Linked DNA regions of Bombyx mori. The protein of the gene in region 1 purifies or fractionates together with the protein of each later gene. This does not show direct contact. Links are inferred from orthologs where the notes say so. Each region holds a gene or a part of one and is shown on either strand. Other genes may lie near its edges.

The links. Proteins that work in one complex are often made in the same cells at the same time.
Region 2: the proteins of DNA-directed RNA polymerase II subunit RPB2 (region 1) and uncharacterized protein LOC101743276 purify together in Homo sapiens (affinity purification with mass spectrometry; 3 studies listed by BioGRID and IntAct, counting the BioPlex papers as one, with this or other methods). This does not show direct contact. The link is inferred for Bombyx mori from reciprocal best matches to the Homo sapiens genes POLR2B and POLR2M.

Annotation. Positions count from the first base shown.
Region 1 is NC_085110.1:13,224,838-13,236,031, reverse strand, and holds DNA-directed RNA polymerase II subunit RPB2, read right to left. Parts: upstream 4,750-11,194; 5' UTR 4,610-4,749; coding exon 1,082-4,609; 3' UTR 1,008-1,081; downstream 1-1,007. UniProt on the Homo sapiens protein: Catalytic core component of RNA polymerase II (Pol II), a DNA-dependent RNA polymerase which synthesizes mRNA precursors and many functional non-coding RNAs using the four ribonucleoside triphosphates as substrates.
Region 2 is NC_085116.1:3,260,507-3,271,700, reverse strand, and holds uncharacterized protein LOC101743276, read left to right. Parts: upstream 1-4,880; 5' UTR 4,881-6,206; coding exon 6,207-7,142; 3' UTR 7,143-7,331; downstream 7,332-11,194. Other genes in the region: SEC14-like protein 2, read left to right, coding at 8,411-8,473.

The DNA of each region.
Region 1 (11,194 bases):
AATATTTTCCCAATGAGATAAATAATAATTTAATTCTAATTATTTGATTTTAAGACAGCTATATTTGATTCGCACTCGTAATTTTGCACTAACAAATGATTATGATTAAAAGCAAGTTTAGGTGCACACGGGTCATTCATAATTTTCACTAGATGGTAGGTACTTAAAAAAAATATTATTCAACGCATTTAATTGCGAGACAATTTATGTCCTTGTCACACAGTAACCAACGTATGCTCTCTTACGAACAATAAAGAACTGATAGTTTTATTATGTACTCACAAAGTTTATATTTTAGTTAAATAAATATAGTTCAATAACTATTTTCACACATAATTGTGAGACACGTGTTGGATGCTTTATTTTTCTACCTAATTGTCTTTTGAATTTTTCATAATTAAGTGTCTGCAACCAGCTCTTAAGGTAGTTATAGTACAATGCACGTAGAAATAACAAATGCGCTAAATGTCTTCTTCGCCTTAAAATGAACAAGTATAGGTAAATTACCTAAAATATGTAATCTGCATTTTAATTGATTACGCATGTTAACATATCGCGGTTACTTGTGATTTGATGACATTTACGATTAATTTTTTAAATTTCAATCTGGTAGTGTACACATGCAGGACTACCAAAGTTCCAGTTTTTTATACTTTAAAAAAGATAACTATGTTACGCGTTTTTATTTATTCTTTTATAAAAGAACTATGTGAAAACTATTGTGTGCAATTTTGTTCAATTAGATTTATATTATTAAATATAGTAATTTATTATATCTGTATAATCACAAGTTGCTATAAATAGTAATATTGAGGTTTGATTACATGAAATGTTTAGTGATGTTTGTTAGTTCATAAATATACATTTATTAATTGAATGTCTAATGAAGTGTTGACTGGTCGGATTTCTGAATCTTAAGCCAGAAACAAAGTACACCATTTTTTCTATTGTGATCTTGTGTTATTAAGTTGCATTTAATGTTGTCGGTTTGTAATAAAACTCTTACAAAAACGATTAGATTTTATTTTATTTTAAATCTTAATAGTTGACAGTGAATTATTTTCTTATCAAATTATATTACTTAACTCACTACCATTAGTCTAGGAGCGATATTCATCGACATTAGTTCCTGGAATAGTAACTTGGCTGCATATGGTAAACGGATTTGCGAAATTTGAGTTTTGTTTTTGCAGCCTTTGCATTCAAATGTATTGTTACGCAAATTAGCTATAGCGATCAGGCCGCAGAAATTACACACGTGTATACGGTAAGGATCTGATACTTCAAATAAACGTTCACGTAAAAATTGGGCAGCTCCGTGTGCAATCTGACAATCACGTTCCATTTCACCAAAACGTAATCCACCATCTCTTGCCCTACCTTCCATAGGCTGTCTCACTAGAATTTGTACTGGACCTCTAGCTCTAGAATGAATTTTATCATCGACCATGTGCTTTAAACGTTGGTAGTAAGTTGGTCCCAAAAAAACTTGCGCATTAATTTTACGGCCTGTATGCCCATTGTACATGACTTCATTACCACGTAGATGGTAACCATAATCTTGTAACAGAGATGATATTTTTTGCACATTTACAGCATCATTGAATGGGGTTGCATCACCGATCTCTCCCTTATTAGAAGATACTTTCCCTTGAATACACTCAATCAAGTGACCAATTGTCATACGTGAAGGGATAGCGTGAGGATTAATAATGATATCTGGTGTTATACCTTCGCAAGTAAATGGCATATCTTCTTGCCTGTATTGAATTCCACATGTTCCTTTTTGACCATGTCGTGAAGCAAACTTATCTCCAATTTGCGGGATGCGTACAGATCTGACTCGAATTTTACAAAATTTATAACCTTCGCTATTTAATGTTAACATTACTTGGTCAACAATTCCAGTTTCACTATTACGTAAGAAAGTGGATGCATCTCGCTTTGTAAATCGTTTTGTTGTACCTTCCAACTCATCATCATTTTCTGGCAAAGTTATAGTTTTTCCTATGACAACATCATCACCTGATACTCTAATACCAGGAGCAATAATACCATCATCATCTAATTTGTCATACAGAGCATTCCTCATACCCTGACATGTCTGTCTGGTTGGTTTTTCAAACTGTTCTTCTTGTTCTCCATTTCTTTTAGATTCAGAATCTTTGTATGAACGGTAAAATACGGATCTAAAGAATCCTCTCTCTACAGCAGATGCATTCAAAATAACACTATCTTCTTGGTTATATCCGGTATAACAAAGAATAGCAACAATGGAGTTAATTCCTGCTGGCAATTCTCTAAATCGTAAGTATTCCATAGATCTTGTCGTAACCAGGGGTTTGTGAGGATAATACAAAACATGAGCCAGTGTATCCATTCTAACATGGAAATTTGTGATATAAACTCCCATAGCTTGTTTACCCATAGCACTTTGATAAGTATTTCTGGGACTTTGATTATGATCTGGGAATGGAATAATAGACGCACAGACACCCAGAATCATTGCAGGATGAATCTCACAATGTGTATAAGTAGTACAATATGCATATTCTTTAACTTGATTCAAGTCATCTAAACTCATGGCAATCATCACAGTTTCTTCTTCCAAAGTATCAATATATTCAACTACTCCACTAGCCACCAAATTTTGCCAACCATAGTTATTGTAGTCCTTTTCTTTTAAATCATCTATGTGCTTCTTTTTCAACAATAAGACACCATTATTGACAATAAGTAATGGCCTACAAATTCTACCTGCATCTGTATAGATTCTGATTTCTCTGTCTCTTATATCTCTAATCATACTGACTTCAGAGACAATGATGTCCATATGACGTCTTAGTTTACGTAGTGTAGCCATCAACTGTTCAGGGTCCCTGTGTATTCCTACCCAACAACCATTCACAAATATCTTTGTGGCATCAGCTATAGCTGATGGTGCAATTTCTTCCAAGTTTTCCATTGACCATTCTTCCAAGAACTCCAAAATTGGTGAAGGTTGACTTCCTACTGAGATATAAGCCATTAATGCTAAATTCTTCACTAAGCCAACAGCAGCTCCCTCTGGAGTTTCAGCAGGACAAATCATACCCCATAAAGTATTGTGCAATTGACGTGGTTTAGCAAGTTTACCATCACGTCCAATTGGAGAATTGACACGTCTTAAATGGGATAAAGTAGATGCAAAAGTTAATCTGTTCAACACTTGAGATACTCCAGCTCGGGCCTGATGAGCTTTCTTTTGGTCACCCCAATTACCAGTTGCCAAAGAATAACGAAGACCATCAGTGATGATTTTTGTTTTGATAGCAAGTTCCAAGTTGAAATCTTTTCCTCTATCAATAAATTTTTGAGCATACATTCGGACTTCTTTTAGTAAATTTTTGAATAAGCCTCTAAATAGAAAAGCCAAAAGTGGTCCTGCTAAATCTAATCTTTTGTTGCCATAATGATCTCTATCATCCAGTTCTCTTCGACCCAAAGCAGCTAATAATAATCTGTGTACCATGTAGCCTAGAAAATAAGCTTTTTTTGTTTCACAAAAATCTGATACTCCAACATGTGGCAACATTTCCTTTTGTAAGATTTCTCTAGCATATTTAATACGTCTTTCTTTGGTGACACCTGGGCGTGCTCCTCGGCTTCCAATAAAATTGAGTGCTACATTTTGTTCTTGAATGACAAAAGCCTCATCAAGAGATGGCTTAACCATTTCCATCATTTCTGGATCATCAAAATCATATATAATGTGTTCCAATATATCTCTATCAGCAACAAAACCTAAAGCTCTGAATACAATCATTATAGGTATGTCTTGTTTGATATATGGGACAATTGCCATAATTCTTTGACCAATAGCAGATTTCTTTATATTTTGTCCTCCTCGAGCCATCATATTAACCCATAATGTAGATGTCGGTCTAGAACTATGTTCCAGACATGATCTTATTTCTGTTTTGTAAGCATATTTGCCATCCTTCATGCTGAATACATAGACAGTATTGGTAGCCATTTTTTCCTGTGCAATTAGTACTTTTTCTGATCCATTAATAATGAAGTAACCACCAGGATCTAAGGGGCATTCATTCAATTCTGACAAGTCACGGTCAGTCAAACTGTTTAGTAAGCAATATGTAGATCTAAGCATAATAGGAATCTTGCCAATAAATGTTTTCTGATGTTGCGTTTCAATAGGATCCTCATGTTCTTTCTCTATTGTTTTTGTAATATCAACATATAAAGGTGCCGAATATGTTAAATTACGAAGACGTGCTTCATTGGGCATCATGGGAGATGGAGCTCCATCTTTCTCCCAATGAGTAGGTTTAGATAAATAAATTTGGTCAAATTTAAGACGATATTTTGGTGGTGTTTCCATCTCACCAGAGAAATGTTGTGCTTCTGCTTGTAATTCTATGGGTGGAGAATCTTCAACTATACGTTGTACCGACATTTGAATAAATTCATCGAAGCTATCTAATTGCTGTCTCACTAGACCTTTTTCATCGAAATAAGCGTTGATGACAATCCAACAAGCTTCTTGCCAAAGCTCAGGTGTTATTTCCACATCTTCCTCTTCGTATTGATCATCTTCTGTATCATACATCTTCGCTAAAGCGAGTGTTGTATTTAAAAAATATACTGTAGGCTATTAATGGCCTTTCTGTATTTTCAATTGGAAAATATTAAAGCAAATGCGTCGTCGTCGCCTTTCCTAGGCTCTATTATCTATGGTAGCAAATATCATAGATTAAACACATGCAAATATTATGTGCTTAATGGCTCAGTGAATTTAGCCCCCTTTTTTATTTTGGATTTTTTTATATTTGTTGGCGTGAGGTGATGGTTTGCTTATTAGATATAAAATAATTAATAATTGAGAATTCAATTGTTTTTATGATCGAACAATCACCAATAGTCGTCAAACAAACGATAATTGATCAAAATTAATTAATCTGAGTGATAAAAATAAAGATATCTAGTAAAAGGAGCCAACTTAATGTGATCATTTGTTTAATTAATTATAAATAAATAAAAGACGAACAAAGATTTTTTACATATGAACATTAACGAACAAACAACGGACAAATAATTAAAAATAAAAAAATTTGAAAATCAAAAAAAGAGGGGCCAAATTCAGTGTGCCGTAGGTATAGATCATACACTTAATATTTAAGTTAGTAGGTTATGGCTCTGTAAATTTGGCCCCCTTTTTTTATTTTCGGATTTTTTTTATTTTTAATTATTTGTTCGTCGTTTGTTCGTTAATGCTCGAATGTAAAAATTGTTTGTTCGTCTTTTGTTTATTTATAATTAATTAAATAAATGATCACCGTTAAGTGGGCCCCTCTTACTAGATATCTTTATTTTTATCGATTAATTCATTTTAATTCATTTTGATCAATTATCGTTTGTTCGATGACTATTGGTGATTGTTCGATCATAAAAATAATTAAATTCCCAATTATTAATTATTTTATATTAATGTAATACCGAAATACTTCACGAGATGGCGTTACAAAAAATCCCTTCCCAAAACTATAAAACCGTTGTGATTGTCTACTGAATAGATAATATAATAAATAATATTTATTCGTAGGTGATTGTTTAAGATGTTATGAATATTTCAGTTTTGATTTCATCAAAATAACTTGAACTTTACTACTAAATTCCGAAAAAAATTTTAATTAAGGCTGAGTTAAATTTAGCTTTTTATTTAAGCCTCTTACTGTAGTTTTTGAATTACATTTATGCAGATTGACGTTTCAAAGCTTTCAGATTTCAATTTTAAAATCTGAAATAATTAAGAACAGCGTCATCCACCGTTCACATTTGAAACAGAATTTAATTCGGTTTAAATTTGTAAAAGTTGATGTTGATTATTATTACACTAATTAATTGAGCGTTTCATTAGCTTTTAAGCTGAGTGACTATATACTAGTAATATATTTTTATTCTATTGTCTATTTTTGTTAAGTAATAAATGAGCAAAAAATAATACTTAACTAAAAGATATGAAATCCGAACAAAAACAGTTTCACTGTAAAAAATTGCGCCAAGTCCACGTTTATAAAACTCATCTCAATAACATTTGCACTTTACAAAAAAAATAAGACTTCAATAACTTTCATTCTCTACAAAAAGATGTGAAATACAAAAAAATACCAAGAAACTCCTTACTCGAGTTTTCACCACAATTTAAGCTTGCTCTTCATCATCATCATTTACATCAACTTCGACTGGTATGTGTCATGCTGGCAATTTTCTTAGCCTATCATGTGGGTATTTGTAAGTAAGTTTTGAATTTAAAGCTTTCAATGTGTAACGGTCACCATCCAATACTTCAACTACTTTAAACGGCCTTTTAAACTTCGTATCTAATTTCGTTTGATTACGCTCTTCGATTTAATGTGTGGACGAGCTCACAGCCCACCTTGTGTTAAGTGGCTACTGGAACCCTTAGACATCCACAGCGCAAACGCACCACACACCTTGAGATAGAAGTTCTAAGGTCTCAGTATAGTTACAACCGCTGCCCCACCCTTCAAACCGAAATACACCACTGCTTCACGGCAGAAATAGGCAGGGTGATGGTACCCGTGCGGTCGATGGCACTCCATAGAGCACCCGTCTAGTGCCACGTCCGTACCCACGAGAACGTCGCCGCGCTGCGACGCCGGCAGCGCGCGATCGCAGTCAGAGTTATTCGAGGATACCTCACAGTCTCCTACGAGGCGGCGCGCCCTAGCGCAAGTGCAGCCGGAGCGCGGGGGCTCCAATCTCGGCAGTCCGTGCTGGAGGCGTGGTCTCGTCGTTTGGCGGACCCGTCGGCCGGCCTCCGTACCGTCGAGGCGATCTGCCCGGTTCTCGCGGACTGGGTGGGCCGCGACCGCGGAAGTCTCACCTCCGGCTACCTGTGCAGACTCACAAGACATTTTACCACCATGCAAACTTCTTACCGCAACAAATCTTATCCGCCACTACGCAAACTACAATTTTACGGGTTCCACCTCTCCTATCATCTCAAGTCTTCGGTTTCAGGTCTTCGACACAAAACATTAAGTAAAATTAAATATTGTCCAGTCCGTACATAAACAATAAAAACCTAAATGTCGTTGTTTTTAGTCTTTAATTTTAAAGTAATCTGTTTGTAGATGGGATAGTCCCAAGATTAGTGTGGTACAGATTGCCCATAGCTTGACAAGCTTGCCCAGCACCAGTTACACCAGCCCCGCATGTGTGGCATATACCTGTGGAAGTTAAAAGTAAGTGATGTTTAAACGAGTACATTTGGTTTATTACAATAGTAATTATGTAACATGTTGCTCTCACTCTCATTTATCAAATGCCAATTTAATTTCATGCCACTAATTTCGTAATGTAAATTCGCCTTTATGATTTTTTACCTTTATTTTTATGATTTAGTACCAGCGGCTAGCTCCAGCCGCCTGCACCAGCCGCTTGCACCAGCCGCTTGCACCAGCCGCTTGCACCAGCCGCTTGCACCAGCCGCTTGCACCAGCCGCTAGCTCCAGCCGCTTGCACCAGCCGCTTGCACCAGCCACTAGTAGTACGAAAGTAACACGATTACGAGAGATGCGCAGTAAACGAAGAAACGATGCGTACTAAATGTTATTGTTTAAATTTTATTATGAACGACTGGAGGGTAGTTCGCGGACTGTGCCACCGTTCACTTCAACGTCTGCTTTTTAACTAAGTAATAAATAGTAGTAGTGGTTAAAGTGTGATAAAGTAGTGATAAATAAAGGAACAATACTAAGAACCACAGGAACAAATGTTTTCTTATTGAAAGAGTGCGTAAACAATACAAAATCTATAAAAATATCAAGGAACGCGCAACTGACATTTATATCCATTACTCTAAGTGTAAATGATCTAAAACTCGTTAAGTGCAGTGAAGGGGACATAAATAATCATTAAAATCGTTAAATTGTTAAATAGTGAACACAAGGATTCTATTTAATTTATTTTTTGCATTTAACCTAAAATAAATATTATTCGCATCGTCACACAAATCACCTCGTACAAAAACGTTAGCGCCACCTAGCGTGAGTAGCTGAACTCTCAAGATAAAACTCGATAAACTGGAGATAACATCTGCTATAAGCAACGTAGTTCCAATACTATCCACAAGATTGTATTAGTAGTACTTTGAGGTATAAAAGTAATGGAAGAAATTAAAAATATATTAAGAAGCATGCAAGAAGAGATGAAACAACAAAAAGCGGATATGTTAGATATGAAGGAGGAAATAAAAAATACCATTATAAATAATATGAATGAAAAATTTCACAGTCTTGAATTAAAGACCGAGTTACTTGAACAACAATTAATTCTAATTCGGCAGAAAAAACAGATAACATGGAGAGATTGAAGAGAAAGAGAAATCTGCTCTTTTTCGGAGTCGAAGAAGGTGAAAGGTCATATCAGGATCTGTTGCAAATTGTGCTAGAAATTATAAACAAATATTTAAGCATTGAATGCAATGAAAACAGTGTTGAATTTGTAAGGCGAGTTGGAAAAAGAGGGGAAAACACGAGACCCATTGTAGTAACATTGAGCACTATGGGGTTAAAAATAAAATTACTTAAAAATAAGAAAAAACTGATATCATCACCGGTTTACATAAAAGAAGATTTCCCCCAAGATATACTAAAAAAACGCAGGGAGCTTCAAAGCGATTTAATCAAAGAAAGAGAATCCGGAAACAGGGCAATCATAAAATACACAACTTCACTCCTCGCGTTCCCGCTCAGACACAAAGTGTCTGTCGGACTTTTTGGCTACCCTGCCGTGAAGCAGTAATGGCTGCTGGTGCTAGCGGCTGGTGCAAGTGGCTGGTGCTAGCAACATGTGATAGCGGCTGGAGCTAGCGGCTGGCGCAAGCGGCTGGTGCAAGCGGCTGGTACTAAATGCTGGCGCTAACGGCTGGGGCTTGTTGCTGGAGCTAGCGGCTGGTGCTAGTTGCTGGAGCTAGCGGCTGGTGCTAGCGGTTGGGGCAAGTGGCTGGTGCAAGCGGCTGGAGCTAGCGGCCGGAGCTAGCGGCCGGAGCTAGCGGCCGGAGCTAGCGGCCGGAGCTAGCGGCCGGAGCTAGCGGCCGGAGCTAGCGGCCGGAGCTAGCGGCCGGAGCTAGCGGCCGGAGCTAGCCGCTGGTACTAAATCATAAAAATAAAGGTAAAAAATCATAAAGGCGATTTACATTACGAAATTAGTGGCGTGAAATTAATTTCGTGACATTAGTTTTACCAACAGTTTCACGTGTAATTTAATACTTTCGTAATGCATGCATTAATTTCATGCATGGAAATTAGTTTCGTGCCCTACGCGATTTTTTGGTGAAATCATGCAACTAATAGTGTAGACGCGACGTGAAACTAATGTCGCGAAAGGGCCTGCGCTGTGCGGACGTGTGTATTGTTAGTTCGGACGCGCTTCAAGCGTTGAAAATGGCAAACCAACGATGGAGTACAGATAAAAATATCAGCGATAGAATATCAGCGACAAGGGTGTCTCTGGGACCCGAAACACCTACAGTAAAAAAGCAAAATTATATTCACTCATTCGATAATAGTTTTTATAGCTCTCAGGATCTTCATCTGCTAATTCAGAGACTAACTTCATTGCACCTGAATGCCTTCTTGTTGATCATCCTCGAATCTAATAACTTTTTTTCTTGATAGTCTTTTTTTAAGTTTATAGGTATATAAGCATTTCTTTAGCTACATTGAATATAGCATATAGCACAGAATATAGCTTTGATGCTGTTGGCGCCATGGTTACTGCGATACTGTGGATTTCGCGACACTAATTTTTTGACGAAATTACTTTCGCATATATCGAAACTACTTTCGTGAAACTGAGCTCAACATGCATGAAACTAATTTCGTAATGTAAATCCCGCATAAAGGTAACATATATCATAACTCGAAAACTATCAAAAATCGCGGAACATACATGGGGGTGATTCGGATACCCCACGACACGAGAGACCTAAATTTTTTTTTGGACGTATAGGTCGAACCTGTATTTTTTTTTTTTTTTTTTTTATTGCTTAGATGGGTGGACGAGCTCACAGCCCACCTGGTGTTAAGTGGTTACTGGAGCCCATAGACATCCACAACGTAAATGCGCCACCCACCTTGAGATACAAGTTCTAAGGTCTCAAGTATAGTTACAACGGCTGCCCCACCCTTCAAACCGAAACGCATTACTGCTTCACGGCAGAAATAGGCAGGGTGGTGGTACCCACCCGCGCGGACTCACAAGAGGTCCTACCACCAGGTTTACTTAGAACATGCTCACGAATGACTTTGATTATGAAGGAATATCGTGTTACTTAAACGAAATTCGCAAAAAATATAATTTACGTAATTACTAACGGTGGAGGGCTCTGTGAGCTCGCACGGATAGATACCGCCGTCCTGTGTGCTTAGTGCGAGTTTGCAACGAAAACGACTTAAAAACCTGCCTATTTCTGCCGTGAAGCAGTAATGCGTTTCGGCTTGAAGGGTGGGGCAGCCGTTGTAACTATACTTGAGACCTTAGAACTTATATCTCAAGGAGGGTGGCGCTCTTACGTTATATATGTCAATGAGCTCCAGTAACCACTTAACACCAGGTAGGCTGTGAGAGATCGTCCATCCAACTAAGCAATAAAAAAAATAACCCGTTGAGTTAGTTTCTCGCCGGATCTTCTCAGTCTTCTCAGCGTTTCAAATTCGGTAATAACTAGATTCGGTGGTAGATCTTGCTAGGGTTTGTGTTAGCATCACACCGGTTTGAGCCCCGTGAGCTCACCTACTTGTTAAAGTTACGCTGAAGTGGTCTCTCAAGACTATCAGCTTAGATAGGAAAAAAAAAGCACTTGTTAAGTGAGGCTTTAGTAAGGATTATCACTTGATCAGTCCAGCATATGGAGCTTCGTCCACGAGGTATTTTATCGACGACCTTACCTTGAACAACAAGCTTCTCGTTAGATTCTGCCGATTGTCGGTTTTTGTACATATATCCTTTAGGAGATGTTCGAAATGCATATAATTTGAATATCACTAAATTCATATTGAACTTCCCGCATACAATACTCGTATTAATAATTACAAATATGTATATGGGCTATATGCCAAATCGACCACTTTTGCGTTCGACCCCTTTAGATTCATTCAGCTGAAAC
Region 2 (11,194 bases), on another chromosome or scaffold:
ACAAGTAGTTTTATTACTATTCCTAATGGATTATCTCTTCTTATGATATGGGTGTCGTCTTCGAAACGAGCTGACCGTTTTATTTGGAGGTTGCAGGGCTTTATTCTGGTATTGTGTTATTATTGGAGTCTCATTAGCGGCTAATTTATTGATCACAAAGTCATCACCGGGGTTCATATTCTCCATCATCTTGAGTTTAGCCTCTATGGATTGGATGGCTGTCTTTTTGCTGAGTTTAAACTCTGGTTTTGCACCAGCCAACGCCGGTATACCTAGCTCTGGTTTTGGTTTATCTTGATCATCCTGTGAATATTTTTTTAAGTTAATTATTTTCTAAATCCTCATGTCAGAAGCTGTAAGTGCTGATAGTAAATTGTGTGAATGTTTATTCTTTGAGGGCGAGATACAGGTTTAAAGGAACCATTATTAAAGCGAAAACGGCAATTTGTTGCTAATTTGTATCACACTGTGTCTGCAGTCTATTAGTAGCAACACCATCCTACCCATTTTTTCAGCAAAGTAGTTCAGAATTCGGATTTGACTACTAGTTTAACAGATTTTTTATAATTTATTTAAGATTTTGTCTTGAACCATTTATCATACTTGTTTGCCAACCATTTTATTACTTTGTTATTAGTTTATTTATTTATTAGGCACACGATACACATTACAAGCTAAAAAGAAAATATACACAATAAATAACAAGTAAAGAAAAGGGCTTGTTGGTTTTCCCCTGGTGGTAGGACCTCTTGTGAGTCCGCGCGGGTAGGACCACCGCCCTGCTTGTTTCTGCCGTGAAGCAGTAATGCGTTTCGGTTTGAAGGTTGGGGCAGCCGTTCTAACTATACTTGAGACCTTAGAACTTATATCTCAAGGTGGGTGGCGCATTTTACGTTGTAGATGTCTATGGGCTCCAGTAACCACTTAACACCAGGTGGGCTGTGAGCGCGTCCACCCATCTAAGCAATAAAAAAATAAAAATTGTAACAAAAGGCATGCGCGCACAACTAATCAGGACAAATGTGCTAAGTAAACAATGTTCATTACAAACTATAGGACAAGACAGCATGATAACGAAAACCAATCAATTTTTGTAAAGTAACTATTGATTTCATCTTTCATCTCATTAAAAGAGTCATCAAAATAATCTAAATATTGAGAGATTTGAAAATCAAATTTATGAAATTTTGACTAGGTAGTATTTTTAAATACCCGTTTCTAAGTATGTTAAATTTCGCCTCTGGCACATTGCAAATTCATTTATAAAACCACCCAGTATATCATGGTTGCAAATACAAAATTTGCTATCTGCAATTTTTCATGATTGAATCGAGTAGTTCACCAACAAGGTTAGGTCATAAAATAACTACAAAGTATATGCACTACACATAGAACTTAAACAACTTTACAGCATTAATATAATATGTAAAATTGTTACAGTTAATTGATACTTACAGCAGTGTGTTTAGCAAATTTGACACATATCCTTTTGCAGCCTAGTAACTGTCCATTCAATGAGTTCATTGCCTTAACAGCATCTTGTTTCAATTTGTATGTAACAAACGCAAACCCTCTCGGCTGTCCGGCTGCAGGTCCGCTACGATGGAACAGCATGTCGAACTTCTCAATATTCCCATAGACGCGGACCAGTTTCAGTAATTGATACCGGTAATGAACAAAAATTGATGTTTTATTATATTGCCTTTTATTGGTACGATAAAGAAATGGAAAAGAATGAGTATATCAGAGGAAGTGTGAAAGTAGCCCCGGTAAGCAAGAAGTTAAGGAGCGGACGGTTAGCGTGGTATGGATATGTGATGCGTAGAGAGAACGATGTAGTCGTCGTGGCCTAAAGGATAAAACGTCCGGTGCATTCGTGTTGAAACGTTGCACCGGTGTTCGAATCCCGCAGGCGGGTACCAATTTTTCTAATGAAATACGTACTCAACAAAATGTTCACGATTGACTTCCACGGTGAAGGAATAACATCGTGTAATAAAAATGAAACCCGCAAAATTATCATTTGCGTAATTACTGGTGGTAGGACCTCTTCTGAGTCCGCGCGGGTGGGTACCACCACCCTGCCTATTTCTGCCGTGAAGCAGTAATGCGTTTCGGTTTGAAGGGTGGGACAGCCGTTGTAACTATACTTGAGACCTTAGAACTTGTATCTCAAGGTGGGTGGCGCATTTACGTTGTGGATGTCTATGGGCTCCAGTAACCACTTAACACCAGGTGGGCTGTGAGCTCATCCACCCATATAAGCAATAAAAAAAAAAAAAGTGAAGATGCATGTGACTAGAAGATGTATGGAAATGGTAGTGCAAGGTAGAGGGAGGGAGAAGATGTCGACCGAAGAAGACATGGATATGTGTGATTGACGATATGAAAGAGAGAGGAGTGAGTGTTGAGATGACGGCTGATAGAAGAGAATGGAAGAGAAAAATTAGCTGTGCCGTCCTCACCTAGTGGGATAAGGTGGAGGAAAATGAGAAGATAAAACAATGTAACTCTTTTATAATTTTATGTTATGAAATTATATAGAGACATTTATTCTCTTTTTTATAGCTATCTTTGAAAATTACTTTAATATTTTAAACATACTCATTGACTCTCAGGTCTAGATTCCCGATCCATAATCTTCTGTCACAGACTTCATTCTGGTGGACTGGGTCCAAATGTAATGGAACCTGAAAATAAAATACATAGGGTATTGTACAGCATATTTAAATTTGGTTAAACATTATTGTAATGTTTTAAAGAGGGTTTTAAGTCACCATGATAAATAATCTTTTTTTATGAATTCGTTAATACAGTAGCATCAGAGTTGTATTTACTTTTTATTTTATTTTAATGGGTAAACACACTCACTTCACACTTTGTCTCTGCTACTGTGTTGGGAGCATTAACATTGCCTTCTGAGACATTCATTCTCATTCAGGTCTCTGTGCCTTATTTAGCAAGACAGTGGTTTAGCTGGCTTTGCTGACATCTATGAGTAACTTTGACCATTCAACATCAGGTCTCCAGTATGTTTACAGATAAAACAACAAAGTTGGCAAAGCAGCTAGTGACCATGTATTCAATGAAATGACTATAAAGGATTTTAATACAATTTTTTCTCAGTTCATAAATGTTCAAGAATGATTTCCACAATGAATGATTAACAAGTTTTCTGATACTGAACTGATAGCTCATAAGTAAAGAGATAAATGAGCTCACAGCCAACCTGGTATTAAGTGGTGACCAGAGCTCATAGATACAACATGACACCCTTCAAACTGAAAAGCATTACTTCTTGACAAAAAAAATCTTTAAACTGCTACACTACTAATTCAAGTATATTTTTTAAATATATAGCCAATTTCACATATTGGCCATTGAAAAAATTGTCTGCTATGATTCTTTGTTGTCAAAGTGAAACATTCAGTATTTAACCAGATACAGCTTATGGATTCGACTGTCCCTTTCAAAATGCGAAACATGAAAATGTTAGACATTCTACCCATCAAACTGGATTTCCCGACTAAATTGAAAGAGTCACCATAGTACAACCAACCAGTGTATGCTCCCAGCATCCTGTACCTCAAAAAAGGATAAAGTAAGAAAACGTGTGCTATTTATGTTCATTTGGTCATTGTTTTCATTTCAATGATAAAATCATCTATATAGTTTGTGGTACAATTAATTTGAGTCAAATTATTATCATTTAAATGATCTTTATGATACTTTTAGTTTGTAATACTTGGGTACTTGTTAGATGAAAATCAGGTGATAAATGAAAATTTATGCAAAGTATGATTATTTATTTAGAATACCGTTCCTTCCATGTCTCTTGAGTGTTGAATCTGTTCCTTTAAATTACTTTACTCTTAGATCTCTTGGTGTTCTAGAATTCTTGGATCACATAACTTATACACTAATTATTCCTACATAATATTTTAACTAAGCATTGGACTTGCGCATTGTTTATAATTTGTATAATTTCACTCGTGTACATAATATTTTTCTAGATAATTATGATCTAAAATATGTGTTTACTCTATGATCTAAATTCTATGACATATTTAACCACAGATCAGTAAAACGTTTTTTTATTAAAGGGATTTTATGACCTGGTAACTAAGACCTTTAGATCATATCTTATTTTAATTTATATTCATATTTTTATGAAAAATGGTATTATGGAGTGAAATGAAATGAAATGAAGATGATTAATTTGAGACATTAATCAACTGGGATAAAATTAAATGAGATGATATGAGATGAGATATAATCTATGATATATAATATTGGTGGTCATTTACCTTCATTTACTGAGATTTTTTCAGTGGACTTTTTGGAGGATCCCGAGAAGTTACGTCCAGCGGCTTTGTTTCATTTTCCCACATCTGTGCACTTTCACAGATATTAAACAGTTAATAAATCACCGTTATCTTATACCTTCAAACGAGCAATTCTTGTATATATATATATATATATGTATAATCTGAAACTCGGAAACGGCTCCAACGATTTTCATAAAATTTAGTATACAGGGGATTTCGGGGGCGATAAATCGATCTAGCTACGATTTATTTTCAGAAAATTTTGTTTTATTCGTGTTTACAATAATCAACTTTCCCGACATCTATTGGCGAATAATAATACTATTTAAAGACACAACAAGATGGCGTCATCAAAAAAAAAACGAGCAAAGCTCGGTCATCATCTAGTTACACATTTAAACGTGAAGAAATACCAAATAGACAAAATTATACAACTTCACCCCTCGCGTTCCTGCCAAAAAGTCCTCAGTAAAACGTCTTAAATAGCAAGCATAGATAAGACATCAATAAGAAGCAACAACAACTTAGCAAGGCACAGACTACTCACTTTTTATTGTAAGGTAAGCCTGCCGTTTAAATGCCCCCCGAAGCATACACACGAGTGTACGCCCGCGACTCTTTCGCTACTCGCCGTCATTCCTTTTCGAACTTGTTTGTGGGACCCTTTGGAGTATTCATTACCTGATGCTCCAACTGCTGGGCAACACAAAAAAATGTAGTATCTATGCCACTTCACTTATTTTTCATTATGGAAATTGGATTTTTGCGACACTCTTTGAAACCCAAGGTTTTGGATGTGGCAGCCCTAAACCTCACACAAAATGTTTGGCAGAATTGATTTTACTTAATTGATTTAAAGTAAAGATATTTTAAATGCGGAAGGTCATTTTGGAGATCAAACTCAATAGATGCAAATTTCAAAGCAGCAAAGAAGTATTCCGTGTATAAGCTCTATTTCCTTTCATTATCATAGAGGACGATGTCAAGGCACAACCTAATGAGCTTCTCGCCGGATCTTATCAGTGGGTCGCGATCCCGAGATCCGGTAGTAGATTCTGTGAAGCACTGTTTTTGCTAGGGTCATTGATAGCAAACTCTCTTAGTTTAATACCCGTAAGCTCACCTACCCGCCATAGCGTAATTGGAATAGCTCCATAGCGAATAGGTAGGGCCCGCAGAGTCTATCGAGAAACTTGTTGTTCAGGGTAGAGTAAATGGTAAGAGATCTCGTGGACAAATCTCCATGCGCTGGACTGATCAGGTGAAAGACTTTACTAAAACCCCACTTAACGAGTGCGCACGCACTCGTTAAGTGGGGTTTGCAAATTATGGAAAACATCTGTCAAGGCTTTAATAAACAACAATTTCACATGACCACGACTGCTTTGCCAAGAGCAACCGACTATAATGATGATGAGGGGGAAAAGGATTTAATTTAAGTTCATGGCTTTTCGAATTCTTACACAAATCTCACGAAATATACTTTCTCTCCATTTTACCAACGTTATATCTATTTAATTTTGTTGCATTCTACTATACTTCATTTCACTTCACTTCTTGTTTAAATCACAATATGAGTTCGAATTCACAATTTAAGGTTGAATAGGCTATGTTTCCTTTGTCCTAGTTGACAAAATAACAAAAAAGGGCAAAAGTGACAAACAAACAGCTAGTGTTTTCTATTTCCACAAAAAGTTAACCAAATCCAGTATTTTTAGTATTTTTACCTATATAAATCTTTTAGATTCCATGTGAATGTAGTAGTAGTTGTTGCAAATGTAAGTACAAAAAAAGAATTAGTCAATGTTACAGTAATAACAGGAATTAAGATCGTTAAAAAATGTGAATGCGTTAAAACTAATTGAAAATATATAAATAATGAACAAGATAAATAAAAGGATACCTGGTATCTTGCCGCCGCCGCCAAAAACAGAAATCGATGGAAAAATCACCGATCTATCGTTAAAAACTATTCCTGAGTTGCTTGAACTACGAGATAGACAAATTAAGTTATTAAACAATAAAAGTTTTATATCTAAACTAAGTGACAAAGGTGCTAAAATACAGATTTTGTACGATAAAATCTTATCCGAATTAAAAGCGAAGCAAGAGGAAGAAGATGCGTGTCGGATGTTCGAAAATATGAAACTGAATGGAATTGACAAACAATCCGTACAAGAATTAGAATGGACAGGTACAATTAAACAATCCACAGATTTAGATTCAGATGACGACAGTGACCCTGAAGATGTCCTAAAAATCTTGACTCAGAACTCATTCCATGAGAAAAAAATTAAGATTTTAGAACCTGAAAAACTTTCGATAACCCCTGAAGATCTAATCAAGATAGATGAGATCCCCCACGTAAGATATATAGTTAACAAAACGGAACACAACACCAAAGCCAAAGTAACGAGACAGTTTAAGCCACATAAGACCACAAACACAGATGTCCACAACCCAGAAAAGGAAATACAAAGAGGAAAGAACAAATGTAAAAAATGGGAGGTGACTGCTGCCACACCTCCTCCTACAATACATGGGCCAGCAAAAATATTATCCATAGAAGACTCATTAAAACTCCAGCAAGAACATAACTTACGTCTTAAAGAGGTGAATGCATTACATGCAGCTGAGAGGCTGGCTTCAATGGCTGGAGTCAAAATGAGTCAGTTGCCATTGGATTTATCAAGGTTTGGTTCATACCGAGACACCAATAGTGATGATTATGAGTCTGATGGTGAGGGCAGTGACAAAGAAGTTCATGATGAGGAGCCTGAGAAAGGAGGTGTCATATTTACCATAATGAAATAATATACATACTAAGTTCTAGAACCAAGTTCTCTCATGAGAGCTTAGTTAGACTTACGACTTTCATGGCTCATGCCAGTCCTCATTTTTAAGGGATCAAAATAGCAGGAAAACGACTGGATTGTAATTTAACTGTGTACTTACTGATTTAATGTATAATAATAACAATAATAATAAATTTCTGTCTATTTATGTATACTTCATTATTATCCCTTACAATTCATTACTCTGAATCCGATATAAGCTTAAAGCGTAAAGTATGTAATTATTTGATTAAATAAAATTTCGCAACCTCAAAAAACCGTTCTGCTTACAGTAAACACAGTCGGTAGTCTGGCGCTCCGTTTACAACGGGATTTTTGAACGGAACTTGGCGCCAGATTCTACCTAACCTGTGGATAAAGCTTATCAGATTGATGTAAATGCAAGTCGCTCCCTAACATATACACTTATGGTATTTTAGATATACACTTCACCAGAGCTTGATAGACCCAATATGAGGGGAAAATGTGTATAAAGACAACAATCACGATATATATAAAATACACTTTAAGAGTTGTATTGTTAAATTTCAAAAAGGAGCCCTTAAATTACATTTAATTGAACATGTAAAAGGGTAGATGATAAGTACAGTAAGTTACTTATTTATTAATTTAATTAACTACATGCTCATTTCTGTCTATAAATTATGGTAATAAATTAATTCCTTCATTCGTTCCCTTCACACACGATTTAGGGCACAGCTGAGAGTGAAGATATCTCCCAGTGTTGACTTCTATTATGTAGGTAATATGCATTTTAATTAATACTTAGTCGTGCGACTAGCGGTTGCTCGGTTATTTTTATAAAATTCAACTACGCTTTATATAAAACGTAGAGTTCATGTTCGTTCATAGCGAGATACAGTATACTATACTGTATACCTAACTTTATATTGATACATACTTTACATACATATTTCGTGTGGGTCGCCATTACAAAATATAATCATAACTATGCATAACTCTATATAATATAATTATTAAACAAGTACGCTACCATTCGATCAATTGCCACCCACTTACTTGCCAGTACGACACTTGCCTGCCGCAGTGTATTATCTACGACTTGCTGTACGAGTGTACAAGGGTTCTACAAGTTGCGCGTAATTGACAGCCACAGATTAGCACTAAACACAAATATACAACGGCGGCTGAGCTCGCGGCAAACGCACGTTGCGCGTGTTATGTTAATTGGAAACATCACAAAATAAAAATAAACAGTTAGTGAATATGGCTCCTATGTCGAACGCGGTCGTAGGAATTGATGACGATCAACGGTTTGCTCTAATGAAGGTACGACTACACTTAATTCTAAATTAATTATTTCATTCTTATTTTATGTTTGTCGATTTTGAATTACTTAGGCAAAAATTTCTTACGAAGCACCAACTAGTGAACGTTCCGAAAAAAAAAGAGGTATTGTCATGATTTTTTTTTTTTTTTTTTTTTTTTTTTTCTCCCATTTCTTGGCCTGCACGGTTTGTGCGTCAGCCACGCAAAAAGGTTAGGAAGTGTGTTAATGGATTTATTTTTTGGATTTGAATTTGGAACGGAATTTGGAAAAAGGATCAGGTATATATATTATATAAACTAAGTACATAAATGGTTACAATTTTATATTATTATGAAAAATGAAACTAGCTAATATTCTATATACATCAATATTGATATTAGATAAAAGGATAGAAATTGAAGTAGGAAAAGGAATTTTAATGGACAAAAGTGAGGAAATAAAAGCGGAACGGTCATTTCGAGGACAGGCAAAGAATATATGATTAAAATCCCCAACGTCATTGCCACACTCACATATATCGCTAGGCAAAAGGTTAAGCCTTGCCAAATGCAAGGGAATGCATGCATGGCCCAGCCTCATGCGAATAAGGGTCGATGTGATAGCTTTACCAAACGTCAGATTTGAAAACCACGGTTTAGGAGGTATATCCACTTGGATCGTGCTGTAATATCGACCTTTAGTCTGTCTTGAAGAACGCCAAATGTGAGTCCAAGAATTCAATAACTGGAATTTAGGAAGCAGAGCTAAATCACAACAAAAGTTTTTGTACGGAACCAAATCTCCATCATTGACCGCAGCTTTGGCAAGGCTATCGGCCTTGGCATTGCCAAAGATACCCGAGTGCCCCGGAATCCAAGCAAAGGAAACTGTGTAATTTTTGATGCAACATTGATACAATAAATCACGACATGCAATAATCACAGGATGATTATTTCGGTTACTGTTAAAAGGAAAACGTTCCAAGGCTTGGAGGGCACTTTTAGCGTCAGTTAAAATTATTGACTTTTTAAGCTTCATCATTAAAATGTACTCCAGAGACTTCAGAAGACCAAAACATTCTCCAGTAAATACTGAAGTCTCTGGAGGCAATTTTATTTTCTGAACAATGCCAAACTGTTGATGGAAAATGCCGACCCCCACACACTCCTCGGGACCGGGTTTGGAGGAATCGCTAAAAATTAAATGACAATTTTTCCATCGGCTGTCACTGTCAATAATATCAACAAATTTGGCATTGATAGAAAGATCTTGTTTACTTAGGCCGAAATCAAACATAATAGATGGATTTAAAGTTAGGGCATCATAGTTAACACAAAATATTGGAAGGAATTGTGATCTATGTGTAGGAGCTTGAAGAGCTAAGTACTTTTGGAGACTAACAATAAGGCATGGCGGCGATTTATGAGCCCAGTACGGATAATCCATACATTCCAGCAGAGACCGTAACTTAGTGTAAAGAGGATGATTATAAACTTGGAATGCTCTAAATAGAAACCGGTCACAAAGAAATTGTCGTCTGAGGTGCAGGGGGGCTTCAGAACATTCGACCTGCAAAGCGTTAATAGGGCTCGAACGCATAGCCCCAGCAATTATTCTCAGAGCCTTAGACTGGATAATGTCTAACTTATGGAGAGCTACTGCATTACAGGGTTCAAGTATAAATGTTCCATAGTCCAAAATACTCCTTATTAGGGCATTATACAAAAGCTTTAGAGAGAAAGGGTGGGCTCCCCACCAAACTCCAGAGAGGCAACGCAATATATTTAGAATCTTCTCACATTTATCACTTATATAGTAGCAATGAGGGCTTCCTGTAAGTCTTGAGTCTAAAATTACCCCAAGAAATGTTGCTTCACTTTTAACAGGAACTCTAATGTTATTATAAAATACAGACACTGATGGAGGAAGCCTCATACGTGAAAATAAGACTATAATACTTTTAGGAACTGAAAGGCTTAGAGAGTTATTGTCAAGCCAAACTTTTAGCAACTTAAGAGAATATGTGACAGTATCAGACATGTTGTCAATAGAATCACCAGAGACATAGAGGAGTAAATCATCTGCATATTGGAGTGTGTTAACTTTACCCCTAAGGGAGGCTTCCAGATCATGAGAATATATATTGTAAAGTAAGGGACTTAAAACGGAGCCCTGGGGTAAACCTTTCCAGACAATACGGGATTGATAAGAGTCTTCTGATATTACTTTAAGCATTCTACCAGAGAGAAGATTGATTATGAAACTTATGAAAATTTGTGGGATATTCAAATTAATCATTTTTTGTTTCAGAACCGAAAGGTTGACATTATCATAGGCTGCAGACACATCTAAGAATGCTGCTAACACAGACTTATTGTATGAAAATGCCAATCTTATGTCTGTCATAAAAATGCTGAGACTATCCATCGTACTCCTACCTTTCCTAAATCCAAACTGGTTAGGAGATAGTAACCCTTTACTCTCAATAAACCATTCTAGTCTATTTTTAACTAGATGTTCGCAAATTTTGGAAATCACTGAAGCTAATGCAATTGGTCTGTATGATGATGGATCATTAATGGGTTTGTTGGGCTTATGTATTGGGATAACTTCATGGATTTTCCATGATGGAGGAATATTACCTGATGTTAAGATTGAATTAATTAAACTGAGAAAATAAGAAAGGCAGGAGTCGTTCAGGTTTTGAAGAAAAGAATATGGAATTCCATCACAACCCGGGG